Linked DNA regions of Daphnia pulex. Each later gene encodes a partner of the first gene's protein in a complex. Links are inferred from orthologs where the notes say so. Each region holds a gene or a part of one and is shown in the gene's direction. Other genes may lie near its edges.

Region 1 (4,355 bases):
CCACCCAGTATGTATATGTTCTTATGGGATGAACAAAGTTCTAAATCTCATCATTGTCATTTCAGTTATAGCTCGAACGGAGGGAAGCGCTTCTTGCAAAATGTTTGGTCGAAATCTCGCCCTGATTTCGAAGCGGTTCTCACCGAGGACCTAAAAAGATGGACCGTGCTCCAATTGCTAGGTCAGCAATGTTGTTACTGAATTAATAACAAAAGCACACAATAAGTATATCAAGAGACGATTCGGAACGCCCATTCCGCAAGTGTCTGGAGTTGTTTATTCAACCGCAGGGCAGTAGATTCTACAAACTACTTCCTGGAAAAATGTGGTGTATGTTTGAGCGTACAGTCATCAACAAAAGTTTTATTTTGTGACAACGACAATTTTACCCCATTTCACATTGTGAACGGAGTAGAAGGGATTCCCAAAGGACACAGAACAACAGGATATTAAGAAAACATGTAATAAGATTTCATATTTTTCTTTTTTTTTTACTACCGTTTAGCGGTTAAGCGTTTGTAACCAAGACTAGAAAGTCATGCATTAGTTGTCTGTATAGCGAGTGGTTGCTATATGTGAAAGTAGTTTGCTGCTTTACATGCATTTATTCAGTTTTGCATAGATTTAACTTTAAGTGCTCGAGGAACCATAAGGAGAGAATGTGAATTGCACACAGGTCTAGTAAGAATAATTTTTATATAAAAATCATTAAAATATAAAATATTTAGCTGTTCTTTTTTTGTATTGTTCAAAGAATACATAAACATAATCGATGCTCATGTTGCTTCTTCTAGCTTCCAGATTGCTCATCGCAACATAGAAACGATTTTTTTTCGACGCCATGCAACGCAAATTATTAATTATCATTATTAGTAGCCTACTATCACAATCGTTAGCAACCGCTCGGAATGATTCATTGGTCATGACATTGAGTTTCTATATAAAATTACTTTTCCCATTAAATTAACAGCGCACGCCATTCCCTGCATCCGAATTACGTGCCATTCTTCTTTTTAGATTTTAAAGATATTTCAAAACTTTCGAAGCAGGTTGGTCCGAGAGGGGAACTCCCAAACGCAGCCATATAAATATTAGATCGGGATTCGCAAGGAAAAACAGAGATAAAGAAATGAATCAGAAACAACTTTCTTTCTGGATTGGATGGATTAGATGTCGAAAGTGATGTTTCCCCTCCCCCCAAATCCCCAATTAAGAAACACAAAAACACATAAGAAATGTAATATTTACATAGATATTAATTCTTGGTAGGATTCTGGTATTTTCATTAAAGTTTCATTGGAAATGTTATAAAATTTATTTTCCACTTTTTTCCAACGCAATTTGATTTTTATCACATCTAAGTTTGGCAACGGCGCTGTATTTTGTAACACAAATATTTTGTCTGCTTGAGTCGAAGAAGCGATTTTGTTTTTTTCCTGGGTTACTACGTTAAACAAAACATATCGGTTCTCCATACTAAAATTAATTTCCAGTTGGTTGAATATTTTTTTTATTTAAAATGGATTCTACCTCTGAGCTACCTGATGACTGTTCTCTTGTATTGGATGAAGAAGAGAAAGAATCCTTAGCCTTGGTAAGTTGTAATCAGGAGACCATAACAACATGTTGAGACTGATTGATGTGTACACCATATTTACCTTTTTTATTTTCATTAGAAAAATTTCAAAGAAGCAATAGCAGAAATTGAGGGTCATTTTACTCATAAAGCAAAGCTTCGTAGTAGGATTCATGCAACAATTCAAAATCGTCCAGAAGAATCCCATTTTTCGAAATTAGATTCAAGCATTAAAAAGAATACAGCATTTGTAAGAAAGCTCAAGAACTTTACAGAAGCTCAAAAAGAAAGCATTTTGAAGGACATCAACACATTGAACCTGACCAAATACATCAGTGAAGTTGCCAATGCAATTGTTGAAGCAAAATTAAAAATGACAGATATCGCCAGCATTCTGCAAGTGTGTGTTGTCCTTCACGAGAAATATGTTGACTTTGCCCCCCAAATTCTAGAAGCATGGCAAAAAGTGCTTTCCTTGAAGAAAGATGAAAAGGTATACCCTAGCATATTTTTATCATAATCCTATTGAAACACGTTTTTTTTTGTAGATTTCAAATCCCAGTAAGATGAGAGTCGATGTCCGATTCTATGCGGATTTGATATCGTGCGGAGTTTTGACCCCTAAAGAAGGTCTTCCTTTACTCGGTAGTTTTCTTACCAATTTGATTCATGGCGACAAGGAAGAACATAACAGCGCCACCATCATTCTTGCTTTCTGCAAGTTTTGCGGGGAGGACTACGCAGGTCTCGTTTCTCAAAAATTGCTGAACGATGCTGAACGCTTCAAAATAGCTGTTCCAACGAGCAACTGGTTGCCAGCTGACAAACGCCAAAATGTTAGAAACCTCCTGCGTGAATATTATACGTCTCTTTGTAAACATCTTACTCAGGTTAGATTCATTAGTTTGATTCCATCTCCTAGAAAGGACGTCCGTTAATTTTTTAAATATCAGGATCACAAAGAACTTCAAAACTTCGAGAGACAAAATCGGCGGATCTTACAAACGAAAGGAGAATTAAGCAACGAAAGAAAAGAAAAGCAGGAGATTTTGAATCAAAGTTTTACAAAACTTTTGAACATGACCCAACAATTTGCTGACATCTTGGCTGAGGAGTTACCCGAGCTTCGACAAGATCTAAGTCCCAGAGACGAAGAGTGTTCTGTGCTGGAGCTGTGCGAGAACATGTCAGATCAGGCACGCGAAACTCTCAATGAACTTCTGTGGGAGAACGAGGAAGGGCGACAGTTCTACGAAAGTCTTCCTAATCTGAGCGTTTATCTCCCCAACTTGATTCCCAAAGTCACCGCAGAAACTCTGCCTCCTCCCGATCCCGTCGAACAGGTACGAACGTAATCCATGTTTTTAATTTGTGTTGAATGTTAATTTATTGTTGTACTAGATGATTGATATCGAAAAAGAAGCGAAAGAAATAGAAGAAGGCGAGCAAGTCAAAGATGAAGGCGATGAAGATATCAAACCTGCCGAGTTAGAAGGTATTATATTGGTTATTGCTTTATATTTCCCTTTCAATTTTTACGGTCGTTACCTTCTAAATAGATGAAAAAGAGGATGCAGATGTTCCAGTCAGTCTTCAATCAAATAAAGTGCTACTGGATAGTTTTCTTACCACTCTGACAGCTTGCGTCAACCGTGAAATGATCGACTCAGCTGCCATTGAGTTTTCTACAAATCTAAACACAAAACACAATCGCAAGAAACTCGTTAGGTAAACCCCCCAAAAATTGAAATAATAATCGAATTATCCTTTAATGTTATATTTTTTTACACCTAGGGCTCTATTTACTGTACAGCGAACTCGATTGGATCTCTTGCCGTTCTACTCTCGACTGGTGGCCACTTTGCATCCGTACATCCCTGAAGTTGCGACAGATTTGTGTAACTTCCTCAGACAAGACTTCAAATATCATGTTCGGAAAAAGGTTAGTTTTTAAACTTGTTTATGATTAATGTTGTAAGCTTACTATTACTTATTGTTATTTAGGATCAAATCAATATCGAGACCAAGGTGAAAATTGTTCGTTTCATAGGCGAGCTAACGAAATTCGGCATGTACCCACGCGCAGATGCACTGCAATGTTTTAAACAGCTTTTGCTAAACTTTGCCCATCATTACATTGAAATGACTTGCCATCTGCTTGAGACGTGCGGACGATTCCTGCTTCACCAGCCAGATTCCCATCAGCGCACAAAAGTCTACTTGGTACACGGATTAACTCTTTTCTGGTATAAAGTTTTGCAATAATAATTCCCAATATTTGATAAAAGGATCAAATGATGCGAAAGAAATCGATGTTGGCGTCGGACTCGCGCTATCTGACGATGATTGAGAATGCTTACTACCAAGTCGTTCCCGTGGATAGCAGTGCTAGGAGTAGTCACATCAAAATCCGTCCTCCGCTCCATCAATACATCCGCCAACTTCTTTTTGTTGAGCTTGGAAACAAAGGATCTACAAATAAGATCCTCAAACAACTTAGAAAGCTCAACTGGAAAGATCCTGAAGTAGCATCTTATGCTGTTCGCTGTTTAACTTCAGCGTGGAAGGTCAAGTTTCCTAACATTCGTACATTAGCTGGGGTCGTGGCCGAGTTGACACTCTATCAGGAATTCGTTGGTCACCGGATAGTCGATGCCGTTTTGGAGGATATAAGATGGAGTTTAGAGTTTCCCATATCGAAATTCAATCAAAGGCGCGTGAGCATGGCAAAATATCTGGCCGAGCTCTACAACTACCGCATGGTTGAATCATCGGTCGT
Region 2 (4,559 bases), on another chromosome or scaffold:
TATCTTACAATTTGTGAAATGCTTACAGGAAAGCCGAGTGGAGAATTCCACAAAAAACATGTTGATTGGGCACCCTCTATAAATGTGGGATCAAATAAGACGAAACAATTTCTAGGTATTGCATTATTCATTTCATGTGTAAAAAACATTCCTATATGTTGTTTTAATGAATGAACTATTTTGTCATTACAGATGGTGATCATCAAGTACGTAACAATGTTGCTTTTGACAAGGCTGATACACCTCCATTGATAGATGTTGAAACTGCAACTGAAGATACCTCAAACAGTTTCGATGAAGATGTTGCATTAATTGAAGATACACTTCTAATAAGTGATTCTCATCCAATCCCATCCTTGAACGATGTAACAACAAGTACGGAAACTTTTGACATGACTTCAACTGCCGATGATGAAACTATCATAACGGTTGAAACCACCTTTGATGCATTGCGTAAGTAATGTTTTAAAATGTAATTTTGTAATTAATGAAAGTAATATTTTGGTTCATTACTTATAATTTTCAGCTGCATTAAATAATTCAAGTCAATCCATCAGGGACGTCGAATTTACTTCCGGTGATTCATCACTAACAACTTCAGTTTTCGTGTTCATCTGTTGTACCCTTACTGTAGTGTGTTTAGGTGAATAATTGTCATAATAAACCAAAAATTTTCAATAAATACTTGATGTATTAACCTTGGTTAACAGGGGCACAAACATATTACCATTTTCTTCGTAATAATTTAATCAAACACAACATTTTCACAAATGGAGATTTTCTTTTTTACAAAGGAAGGTACACAAATTGTATCTTTTCGCTCACTAGGGCCTACTGATTGAGGTTATATTGGAAAGTGCTGTTCTCTGAACTTGACTGTTACTAGGAACGACCGGTAAGTTATTTTTCTTTGCTTTTGCCGCTGCGGCTGCTACGGCACGAGCAGCTTTCTTGCAAGTGTCATACTTCCAAAGCTTTGTTATTCTTTTTGGGGGATTAGTTTGCGACTTGATGCACGATTCGTGGAATGTTTTTCTCTTGAAATTGTTGTCTGCACAAATAACTTTCCCAAATAACGTGTTTTGGCCTCAATACTAAGTCCACTGGCATAATTAGACAGTGACATAGTTAAACACTAACACTATAACGAACTAATATATAAATAAAACACATCACAACTTCAAAACAACCCCCTTTTCTATCACTATTTTTCAAAAAAATTCATATTTCGCAGAACAAACACAAGTCACTCGTAGCAGACAAAAATACATGAGTTGCTGCGTTGCCACGATGGCAACAAATGTTAAAAAAGATGTCGAACAGCCCTATATGTCTACGAGAAATGAAATGTCTTTTTCTCTGAAACCACTGGCTTCCTAATTCTGTGACTCAATTATTATCTGAATCGTGGTTTAAGACCTGTTTCTACTTCATTAATTCTTTTCTGTATAACAATGTAACTATAACCTGCAAGCAATATTTAAATCACGAATGTGAACAATAATAATTTGTGACTGGGCACAAAAAGTACCATAGGAGCACATAATCTGGCGATCCCGAAAATCTTTATCTATAAAGCGTTGTTATTTAGCTTAGATCTAAGTGTGTTTGTTTGTGTGCCACTGTGCCTATCTAATGTGCAACACAACTGGTATTTCATTACATTTTTCAAAAGATTGCGCAAGAGGGCGGTTGCATCAACCATCAAGCCGAGAGATGGCGCTTCGATCGCACTAAAGGAAAAGGGAAAACTCGCACAGCCGTGAAAACACACATGCGAGTTTCGTTCCGTAAGAGATTGTAATTGACGTCATTAATTGCTATACCATTTGGCAAAATGAGTGTGGACACTTTTGGGCCCAATTCGCAAACGCTCACGTTTCTCGACACCGAGGAAAATGATTTACTTGGGGCAGACACTCAGGGAACTGATTTCGATTTTCGCGATTTTACTTTGCCGAGTCAAACCCAGGCTTCACAAATTGATCATGCCAGCCTTCACAAATCAATGGGAAAACATCAGGTAAGAAATCCTGCCTGGTGAAACTTTGAAAACATTTCTGTAATTTGTGGTCATTTTCAGGCGAATGGGCTGGACACGATTGATTCTCAACTTGCTACTGCAATGAAAAATTTGAACGATCTCCAGTTTGAGGAAGAAGATGAAGAGGGCTATTACAGCAAAGATTTGCCACCACATGCATGCAAGTATTGCGGCATCCATGATCCTGGTTGTGTTGTAATGTGTAATATTTGCAAGAAATGGTTTTGCAATGGCAAAGGTAATACTTCTGGCTCTCACATTGTTAATCATCTTGTACGAGCCAAACACAAGGTAAAAATATTTTAAAAATATAAATCTTAATCCTTGTTTATAATCAAACTCTTAATTTTTCAGGAGGTTACATTGCATCGTGATGGACCGTTGGGTGAAACAGTTTTGGAGTGCTATTCTTGTGGAGTCAGAAATGTTTTTGTTTTGGGGTTCATTCCTGCTAAAGCAGATTCAGTTGTTGTGCTGCTGTGTCGCCAACCTTGTGCAGCTCAGTCATCATTGAAAGACATGAACTGGTTAGTTAAATTTACTGTGCTGTTTGTCATGTGTGGTTTTCTACTAACTTCTTCTTGCTAATAGGGACATTGAACAATGGAAACCACTTATAGCTGATCGTTGTTTCCTCAGTTGGCTTGTTCGAAGCCCTTCAGAGGCCGAACAGATGAGAGCTCGTCAATTGACGGCCCAGCAATTGAACCGTTTGGAAGAGATGTGGAAAGAGAAACCTGAGGCTAGTTTTGAAGACCTGGAACGTCCTGGCGTTGACGAAGAACCTCAGCACGTATTGCTGCGATATGAGGATGGCTATCAATATCAGAATATTTTTGGTCCGCTAGTGAAACTTGAAGCAGACTACGACCGACGAGTTAAAGAAGCCCAAACTCAAGACAACGTTCACGTTCGCTGGGATGTCGGTCTTAATAAAAAGACTGTCGCTTACTTTAGTCTTCAAAAGACAGATAGCGGTAATGCCTAATATTTATAGTTCACTAGTGTCCCTTCTCATATTTTTCGTTAATTCAGATATGAAACTGATGCATGGTGACGAATTAAGATTGCGTTACCTTGGGGAACTACACAAACCGTGGACTGGTTTGGGGCACGTGATTAAACTTCCAGACAACTACAGTCAGTCTAATATATAATAGTAATAATAATGATAATATAATATATAAATAACTATATTTTAGGCGAAGAAGTCGGAATTGAATTAAAGAATTCAAACGGAGCTCCTACAGAATGTTCCACAAATTTCGTCGTGGATTTTGTCTGGAAATCAACGTCTTTTGATAGGTAACATCCGATGAGCTCGTATTTCAAAGAGATCTAGTGACTAAGAAACATGTCTTTCAGGATGCAATCGGCCCTGCGGAAATTTGCAGTTGACGAAAGTAGCGTTTCAGCTTACATTTATCATCGTTTGCTCGGTCACGAGGTTGAAGATGTCGTATTCCGCCTACATCTCCCTAAACATTTCTCTGCTCCTGACTTGCCTGAGCTGAATCGATCTCAGGTATAAAATTTAGTTGTTACTTGATAGAACATAGAACATTCATTGCTTATCTCATAATGTTACGCTTTACAGGTTTTTGCTGTAAAACAAGCAGTTCAACGTCCATTGACATTAATTCAAGGACCTCCTGGTACCGGGAAAACGGTTACATCGGCCACCATCGTGTACCATTTGGCTAAACTAGGATCAGGGCCAGTATTAGTTTGCGCTCCGTCCAACATTGCTGTTGACCAATTGACTGAAAAGATTCATCGAACTGGTCTGAAAGTGGTCCGTTTGTGCGCGAAATCCAGAGAGGCCATTGATTCACCCGTCTCGTTCTTGGCCTTGCATAATCAAGTTCGATGTCTTGAAGGGTAAGAATTTACTTTGCGAAAATGTGTCATCGTGGGGCTAAAGTTAACTTCTATTATAGAGCTTCAGAGTTGCGAAAGCTGGTCCAGCTTAAGGAGGAAGTCGGTGAGCTTTCACAGGGAGATGAAAAGCGATACCGCATGTTAAAGCGACAAGCAGAACGAGAGCTACTCGAAGCAGCAGATGTATTAGCGTGCACTTGTGTTGGTGCTGGTGATGTTCGCTTGGCTCGCATTAAGTTTGCATCTATCTTGATCGATGAATCAATGCAAGCTACTGAACCTGAATGCATGGTCCCTGTCGTCCTAGGAGCAAGACAGGTAAGAATCCCTTGGTATTATGTGTTTTAGATTTTTATTAATTCAATGTTTTGGGTGTTTAGCTCATTCTGGTTGGAGATCATTGTCAGTTGGGCCCAGTGGTGATGTGTAAACCAGCTGCCAAAGCTGGTCTCTCGCAATCACTGTTTGAAAGACTGGTAGTACTTGGCATCCGGCCCTTCCGTTTGGAAGTACAGTACCGTATGCACCCAAGGTTGTCCGAGTTTCCTTCCAACTTCTTTTACGAGGGATCACTACAGAATGGTGTTTGCGCGGAAGACCGAATCCTTCGCGGGGTAGATTTCCCTTGGCCAAT

The links.
Region 2: the proteins of regulator of nonsense transcripts 2-like (region 1) and regulator of nonsense transcripts 1-like are in contact, whole or in part, in a crystal structure (PDB 2WJV), measured with the Homo sapiens proteins. The link is inferred for Daphnia pulex from reciprocal best matches to the Homo sapiens genes UPF2 and UPF1. Residues at the interface, in NP_056357.1 of Homo sapiens: Val1105, Cys1107, Glu1109, Asp1110, Phe1113, Ile1114, Ala1116, Leu1117, Met1120, Met1121, Asn1124, Leu1125, Arg1128, Met1169, Pro1170, Phe1171, Val1172, Met1173, Leu1174, Thr1175, Gln1181, Lys1184, Leu1186, Asn1187, Val1188, Pro1189, Ser1192, Gln1193, Leu1194, Asn1197; in NP_001284478.1 of Homo sapiens: Asn150, Thr151, Ser152, Gly153, Val157, Asn158, Leu160, Val161, Arg162, Lys164, Lys166, Pro175, Leu176, Gly177, Thr179, Tyr184, Cys188, Asn190, Val191, Phe192, Leu193, Phe196, Pro198, Asp202, Ser203, Val204, Val205, Val206, Leu207, Cys209.

The regions. Positions count from the first base shown.
Region 1 is NC_060024.1:11,700,729-11,705,083, reverse strand, and holds the start of regulator of nonsense transcripts 2-like, read left to right. Parts: upstream 1-1,390; 5' UTR 1,391-1,519; coding exon 1,520-1,594; intron 1,595-1,676; coding exon 1,677-2,069; intron 2,070-2,124; coding exon 2,125-2,466; intron 2,467-2,529; coding exon 2,530-2,919; intron 2,920-2,977; coding exon 2,978-3,071; intron 3,072-3,135; coding exon 3,136-3,304; intron 3,305-3,370; coding exon 3,371-3,518; intron 3,519-3,580; coding exon 3,581-3,799; intron 3,800-3,864; coding exon 3,865-4,355. UniProt on the Homo sapiens protein: Involved in nonsense-mediated decay (NMD) of mRNAs containing premature stop codons by associating with the nuclear exon junction complex (EJC).
Region 2 is NC_060017.1:7,855,716-7,860,274, reverse strand, and holds the start of regulator of nonsense transcripts 1-like, read left to right. Parts: upstream 1-1,658; 5' UTR 1,659-1,837; coding exon 1,838-2,023; intron 2,024-2,083; coding exon 2,084-2,335; intron 2,336-2,398; coding exon 2,399-2,571; intron 2,572-2,635; coding exon 2,636-3,021; intron 3,022-3,079; coding exon 3,080-3,184; intron 3,185-3,246; coding exon 3,247-3,349; intron 3,350-3,409; coding exon 3,410-3,569; intron 3,570-3,641; coding exon 3,642-3,925; intron 3,926-3,984; coding exon 3,985-4,243; intron 4,244-4,305; coding exon 4,306-4,559. Other genes in the region: uncharacterized protein LOC124197441, read left to right, coding at 29-115, 193-453, 527-651. UniProt on the Homo sapiens protein: RNA-dependent helicase required for nonsense-mediated decay (NMD) of aberrant mRNAs containing premature stop codons and modulates the expression level of normal mRNAs.